2 linked regions of the Astyanax mexicanus genome follow. Each later gene encodes a partner of the first gene's protein in a complex. Links are inferred from orthologs where the notes say so. Each region holds a gene or a part of one and is shown in the gene's direction. Other genes may lie near its edges.

The links. Proteins that work in one complex are often made in the same cells at the same time.
Region 2: mettl14 (region 1) and pre-mRNA-splicing regulator WTAP share a complex: the UniProt entries of both Homo sapiens proteins name them as parts of the WMM complex. The link is inferred for Astyanax mexicanus from reciprocal best matches to the Homo sapiens genes METTL14 and WTAP.

What each region holds. Positions count from the first base shown.
Region 1 is NC_064432.1:11,010,916-11,014,668, reverse strand, and holds the start of mettl14 (N6-adenosine-methyltransferase non-catalytic subunit), read left to right. Parts: upstream 1-880; 5' UTR 881-1,023; coding exon 1,024-1,089; intron 1,090-3,342; coding exon 3,343-3,431; intron 3,432-3,753. UniProt on the Homo sapiens protein: The METTL3-METTL14 heterodimer forms a N6-methyltransferase complex that methylates adenosine residues at the N(6) position of some mRNAs and regulates the circadian clock, differentiation of embryonic stem cells and cortical neurogenesis.
Region 2 is NC_064408.1:74,746,690-74,750,442, forward strand, and holds the start of pre-mRNA-splicing regulator WTAP, read left to right. Parts: upstream 1-1,349; 5' UTR 1,350-1,535; intron 1,536-1,614; exon of another isoform or gene 1,615-1,670; intron 1,671-1,746; exon of another isoform or gene 1,747-1,765; intron 1,766-3,098; 5' UTR 3,099-3,106; coding exon 3,107-3,136; intron 3,137-3,234; coding exon 3,235-3,290; intron 3,291-3,376; coding exon 3,377-3,435; intron 3,436-3,522; coding exon 3,523-3,650; intron 3,651-3,753. UniProt on the Homo sapiens protein: Associated component of the WMM complex, a complex that mediates N6-methyladenosine (m6A) methylation of RNAs, a modification that plays a role in the efficiency of mRNA splicing and RNA processing.

The sequences.
Region 1 (3,753 bases):
AGCTTCAGGGAGACTTGATTTGTCTGCCATCTCTCAAGATCTTTGCTGCAGCCAGATCACCCACAGCTTTCCTAAGCTCACTCTTTAATCTTATTGGATTTAATGGAGTCCCAGATTCAGTTCCAAACTTAAGAAGAACTGTATACTGTGCTACATGCTCCTCCTTCCTACACTTGACATGCGTAGGAAGCTCCTGACTCTCTCTCATGATCAGATAATCTCCTACCTTTCTTAATTCCAGCAGTTTGCCACGCTCCTCCACCATCCCACGACCCGCTCTTTATCCCAAACATTTCCAACTCACTCCCTTCTTCCTTCCATCTCCACTCCTTCCAGGTGAGCTACCAGCTCTTTTCCTAAACCGTGACCGCTAGCTATGTACCTGGGCTCATCAACCAACCAACCTCGTGATGTAACCAGTGCTGCACGGGCAAAATGGTGGCGCACTAGCGCAAACGTAACAAACATATATATGTTACAATTTAGTGTGTAAACATTTTAGATAAAAAAATCCCCTCCCAAATAAATTCCATTATATTTAATCCCTTGGAAAACTTGTACGAACTGAAATGTTTCATGTCCACTTTAAAATAAAAAAATAATAATAATAATCAAGTTTTTACATGCAATTTTCAAATGTTGCATTTAACCTAAAAGAAAATTATGAAATAATAAAAAAATAAATGAATAAACGTTACACAGACTTTAGTTAATAATTGTTTTTAATGTGTGTTTTTAATGGTTTACCTCTATTCACCTCCATTCACTCAGGTCTCCCTCGCGGGCTCCCTCTAGCGGCACGCGGTGGTTTAGAGCTCAGGATTGGTCGGTCTTCCCGCTCTCTCGCTCTGTCTCGCGCTCTGTCTCTCGCGCGGTGACACTGTGTGACGCGTATCTCCTGCGCCGGCCGGGCTGTGTTTGAATGTGTCTGTGTGCGCGCGGGTTTCTCTCTGCATCGCTTTAAAAACCCGTGTATTTATTATAATTCTGAGTAAAGTGGTCAGACTCTGATTCAGATCAGAGATGAACAGCAGACTGCAGGAGATCCGGGAGCGGCAGAAGCTCAGGAGACAGCTGTTAGCCCAGCAGGTAAAAAAAAAAACAAAGAGAGAGAGAGTAAAACACTCTCAGAAACAGAGAAACCACACACAGAGAGAGAGAGAAAACACATTCAGAAACAGAGAAAAACACATTCAGAAACAGAGAAAACACATTCAGAAAGAGAGAAACAGAGAGAGAGGGAGAGATAGAAAGGGAAACACAGAAAAACACACTCAAGAAACTGAGTGAGAGAGACAGAAACACACACAGGAAAAACATGCTTAAACTCACAGAGAGGAAAACAGATACAGAGAGAGAGAGAAAACTAATTCAGATAAATTTACAGAGAGAGAGAAACACAGAAATCACGCTTAAATAGAGAGAAAAACAGTCAGAAACAGGCAGAGATAAACACACAGAAAAACACTAAAACACACTGAGAGAAAAACACACTTAGAAACACAGAGAGAGAAAAACAGATACAGAGAGAGATAGAGAGAGAGAGAAAAACACTTAGAGATAGAGAAACTTACAGTGAGAGAGAGAGAGAGAAATACAGTCAGAAACACAGAGAGAAAAACACAGTAAGAGATACAGAGAGAAAGAGAGAGAGAAACACTCAGAAACAGAGAGAGAGAGAAGCACAGTCAGAAACACACACAGAGAAATACTGTTAGGTACAGAGAGAGAGAAAATAAACACACTCAGAGGTACAGAAATATTTAGAGAGAAACTCACAAACAGAGAGAGAAAAAACACTCAGAGATAGAGAAACTTACAGTGAGATAGAGAAAAACACAGTCAGAGATACAGAAAGAGAGAGAGAAAACACACTCAGAAACAGAGAGAGAGAAACAGTCAGAAACACACAGAAATACATACAGATACAGAGAGAGAGAAAAACACACTCAGAGGTACAGAGAGATTCACAGAGAGAGACTCAGAAACACAGAGAGGAAAACAGTCATAAACAGAGAGAAAAAAAAAACACTCAGAGATAGCGAGAGATTTGCAGAGAGAGAACACTTAGAGAAATTTACAGTGAGAGAGAGAGAATAACAGTCAGAAACACAGAGAGAAAAACAGTCAGATACAGAGAGAGAGAGAAAAAAACACTCAGAGGTACAGAGAGATTCAGAGAGAGAGAGACACTCAAACAGAGAGGAAAACTAAGTCATAAACAGAGAGAAAAAAACACTCAGAGATAGAGAGAAAACAGAGAAAAACACAGTCAGAGATACAGGCTTAGATTAGTCACAGTACAGACACAGCACCCTTACAGATCCATATAATAACCTACAGTTTTTACTAATAAATTCTCTTTCAGAAAAGAGATATAAGCACTGTACTAATTGGGCCATTCCACAGAACGGGTGCTATTGATTGTTGTAACTTTTCCAAATTAAACTTTTTAATTTTTTTAATATCACATGTATTTAACTATTCAAAACATGTAATTGTCAAGTGCAGGCAGCTTTACCTTACTACTTTTTTACAAGGTTTCTAAGCCGAAGATGTTTACAAAACTCGTGTGACATTTAAAAAGCATGTTCAAATGCAACTTTGTGTTTCTTTCAAGAAAGTCTTTATTTTAAAGAAATGTTCGACTGTATGTTCAAATAAGTGATATTTATGACCAAAAATCATTAACAAGTTAATGGCACTGATTCCTGTTACTGGAACTCATTCCTGTTAATGCCACTCACTCCTGTTACTTTTTATGTTTTGAGTAACGGGAATTAAAGTGACAGGACTGAGTTTTTAGCATAGAATTATGCTGTGCTAATAGCATGAGGACACTAAGCACATTCTAGTGATTTTGATGGGGTAATTTGTTAAGCTAACAGGACTGAGTGAAACCCAGGGACACAACCTAAATGTGTATTTTAACTTAAATATTATGGATTTATAATGAAAAAAATATTTTTAAAGGAGTGATTTGCTTTTAAAATATGCTTTTAAATGTTTTTAACTTTTAAATGTTTTTAACTGATTCGTTTTTATTCGTTTTTTTATTTTATTTCCTCTCATATTAATAACTTACAGTATTCAGAGCTTGTAATTAATTGAATTTCTCCTAATATTAATCTAGCCGTTATCTATAGCTGTTATTTTAACACATATCTATGCAGTTTAATGTAATAGTAGTCTGATTGGGCACTTTTGAATTAACCAGTCAAACCCATTAATAATCACATAAATCATCAATCAAAAAAAAGTAGTAGTCTGATGTTTTTGTATTTTTACATCACTTATGCTTTACACTGAGAGCTGAGGGAAGATGTTTGTGTTGTTTTGCAGCTCGGAGCAGAAAGTGCCGACAGTATCGGCGCCGTTCTCAACAGCAAAGAGGAGCAAAAGGAGATCGAGGAGTCCAGAGAGACCTGCAGGTATTCCTACAGTTTACTGCAGTAGTAGACACAAAAGTACACAAACCCTGTATTTGAGTTGAAGTAGATGTAGAGAGGGTAAAACATTACTCCAGTAATAGATGTATAAGTCCTCGGTTTAACGCTCCACAACAGTAAAAGTACTTACTTTTAAAAGAATTCACCTTAAAGGTCTCATTCAATTGTTTTTACATTCATTTTAAAATGTCTAGTTGTGGTCTCTGGTGTTTCTGTATAACCCTGCTTTAGATCACTGAATTAGTGGTCTCTGAAGAAGGACAGGATTTCGGCTCTTGCTCATGAATGCATTGCCTCCGATTGG
Region 2 (3,753 bases), on another chromosome or scaffold:
AACGACCCCAAACATATCTCCAAGATGAGAAATGCTTTGCTGAGGAACCTGAGGATAAAGGTGATGGCCTGGACAAGTATGTCTTTAGACCTACACCCAATTGAGGAAGGTGGAGGAGCGCAAGGTCTCTAACAGCCACTAGCTCCATGATGCTGTCATGATGGAGTGGAAGAGGATTGGCAACCTGTAAAGCTCTAGTGAACTCCATGCCCAAGAGGGTTAAGGCAGTGCTGGAAAATAATGGTGGCCACACAAAATATTTACCCTTTGGGCACAATCTGGACATTTTCACAGTGGTGTACTTGGTTTTGTTGCCAGATATTTTGAGGAAATAGCAAAATATATATATATATAAGCTGTACACTGATTACTTTACATTGAATCAAAGTGTCATATCTTTAGTGTTCTTCCATGAAAAGATTAAATATTTACAAATATATGAGGAGTGCACTCACTTGTGTAAGATACTGGATAAGCCACACACTACACAGTTATCAATACAAAAAAAATAATAGTTATTTAATAATTTCCTTTAACAGAAGCTATGTCTTTATTTTTTGGGTTTATTGTATAAACAACAAAGAATCATAAATAAATATGAGGTTGTTGCAGAATACTCTAAAGTTTGGAGCTGATGACATGGCTTTAACAGTTGTTTATACTGTATAAACTATTCCCATTAGGGCATCAATTTCATAACCTGATTTATTTTACTTCAGGTTAGTATCATGGTGTATTAACAAGACCATCATATTTTTTCTAGCAATAAATGTGGGAAGGAAATAACATTAAAGAGATATCCTGCCAAAAGGGAGTGCAGGTACAAAATAGGTGAGCGACAGTTTCCAAAGCTGTGGAAACTGTGGCAAAAAGAACATTTTCATGAAACGTACATTTTAAAATTTTTGAGCAGGACATAACATGGATAAAATAAATGTCTTTACCTTTGTTAGAAAGCAGCTATTTACTAATTGCCAGAGAGAAAGGAGAATTCCTTTTTCAATTCGTAATTTGCAACAGGGAGGCAGCTACATGCTTCATTAGCTGGAGTTACAGCTCCTGATACGGTCAGTGTAACAGTCCTAAAACTGTAACAGTTATACCCCTTATAACAAGATATCGCTAATATGAGGATTATGACTTCAGTGAGCTTCTATAAGGTATATTATTTTAAGAATAAAAAAAAATACATTACATATCATATACTTTCCGTGAAATATATCTATTCCTGAATTCAGCGTGAATATTACACCTTCATCATTTATTAATCCAGTCTCTCCTGAGCGGGGTCTTGTTTTGAACAGTCGCTGAACTGGTTAACAGGCTGCAACACACATCATGTAAGCCGCCCCGCCCCTTCAGCCTCTGCGGCGGAACATCCATCGTCCTCGCGGTGATGGCGGCTACGCGGAGCTCGCGTTAAGCTCAGGCTCGGGTCGTTTTAAGATTGAAATACGCTATTAGAGGGACGGGTTGCTCGTTAGTAGCGCGCTAGAAGCAGATTGGGTCATCTTGGTCTGAGTAAAGCAGGGCTTGTAAGTATCTCGGGTGTCTTTTTCTGGCTCGTTTCTGGTAAACAAGTTCTGAGAGCTGCGCTGTTGGTCGGAGGGAGAGTCTCTTCCTTTTCCGCCATTTTGTGACAAGAAACTGATAACACACGGAGCCGGCAGGTACTAGTCTAAACGCCGCGCTGGTCTCGGGATTCTGCTCGGGTGTAGTTCAGTGGTTCGTGGGGAATTCCGTCTAAATAGTTCGGGGACTGGAGGTGTGTGTCTGACCCGCCGTTCTGCTCCGCTGGGCTCCGCTGATTTTAACGCGGTTAACGCAGCAGCGCCAGCCCTGCTAGCTCGGTATTAGCTGTTCACGCTGGCTAACGGGCTAACTAGCTTAACTACATTACCGAGAATAAACAGCCAACAGGCCTCGGTTAGGGGTTTAAGGACACGGATTTCTGGCGGACAGTAATGAGAGGTTTTTACTGAGACACTCTAGGTTAGTTACGAACTCGTATGGTCCACAAATGCTAACCAACGCAGTCCAACAAACGTGCGAGGGGCTGTAGTGTATAACATGTTCAGGCTAGGCTAGGCTAGATTACGTAGAGGAGCAGAACGAAACGCTAGCTAACTAGCCAGCTCTTAAAACAGTCTCCGTTTATACATGTCCCTGCTAATGACGTTACAGGCTTTTACCGCTCTGTGCGCAGAGCGCAACTATCTAAACTGTGGTCCATTTTGCTTGTACCCAAAGCACGGCGAGGCTGAGTCAGTGTAACGTTAACGTTTGAGTTCCATATTCTGACCGTTATAGAGGATAAATTCAACAATACACTACGATTGTTGTGTGAAACTTCATTAACTTACTTAGCTATTATTATTTTCTCAGTTTGTTGTAATGAAGAAGAAATGTTTGTCTTTATTTCTTCTATTTTTTAAAATATTTTTTCACTCCAACAACTCATTTCTGCAGCACAAAATAAGAATTTCAGGAAAATTATTTTCTAGATTTTCAGATTTGTCCTTTTTTGTGTATTGTAACAAAAGTTGAATTATATGGTAAGAATTCTAAAATCAAAACAATATAAAGTCATTTTTAAAATGGATTTTTCCTGAAATTCTGTTTGCAAAACACAGAATTGACTAACAGAAAATTGGTAAAATAAAAAAACACTTCTTTCTCATTATAGCTACTAAATGGGAAAATTTTAAAAATGAATACAGTTTTATATTTTCGAGTTTAGCCCCAAATTTAAATGATATTAGTTACACTGACTGTCTGGTGTTGATTTATTTTTGTTCAGAGTTTCTGTTTCTCTGTTTAAATGGTGCTGTAGGTATAACTTGGCTATTATATTGCTTGTGTGCTTTAGTCCATCTAGCCAGCCTAACCTTTGCACCAATTACAGTGGAAGTGAAATAGGTTATAAAATGAACCTCCTACAAAAACGTCTTCTAGTAAAGTGTGTGATCTCGCACTTTATTTCTAATGTGGCCATTTTATGGTATTGGAGCAACCAGAGCTGTATGTTGTGAATCTGTTGTTTTTCTTCTGAAGTAAAACAGTACGTCTTATATTTGTTTATTTTTGTCATTTTGCAGAGATCAAGATGACTAATGAAGAACCTCTTCCCAAGAAGGTGAGCGCATTGGCACAGTGATCTTAACTGGCTGTGAAATATGATGAGGAAATCTCTGCTATGTCAGTTTATTAATGCTTCTATTTCTGGTATTTCAGGTTCGCCTTAATGAATCAGACATGAAGACCCTGACCAGAGAGGAGCTGTGTACACGGTAAGGATAAGTTTTCTTTTTAATAAATATTTTAATTACGGTTCTTTTCTTTAAATAATGCAAAAACATTTTACTTTCCATCTTAGGTGGAAACAGCATGAAGCCTATGTCCAGGTGCTGGAGGCAAAATATGCTGATTTAAATTGTAAGTCTCCGCACATGCACTCTGATTTATTTTCTTGATTTATTGCATTGTTTGTGCGAGCATTTGAATGGTATGCTTTATCCACAGCCAATGATGTGACTGGTTTGAAAGAGTCTGAGGAGAAGCTAAAGCAGCAACAACAGGAGTCTGCACGCAGAGAGAACATTCTGGTGATGAGGCTGGCCACTAAGGAGCAGGAGATGCAGGAATGTACAGTAAGTATTTTTCTTCAGATTTAGATCACCTGACATCTGTCCTACTCTCCTTTAGTCCACATTTAGGATATATATGTTGCATGGAAGTAGTAGTTAATTTATA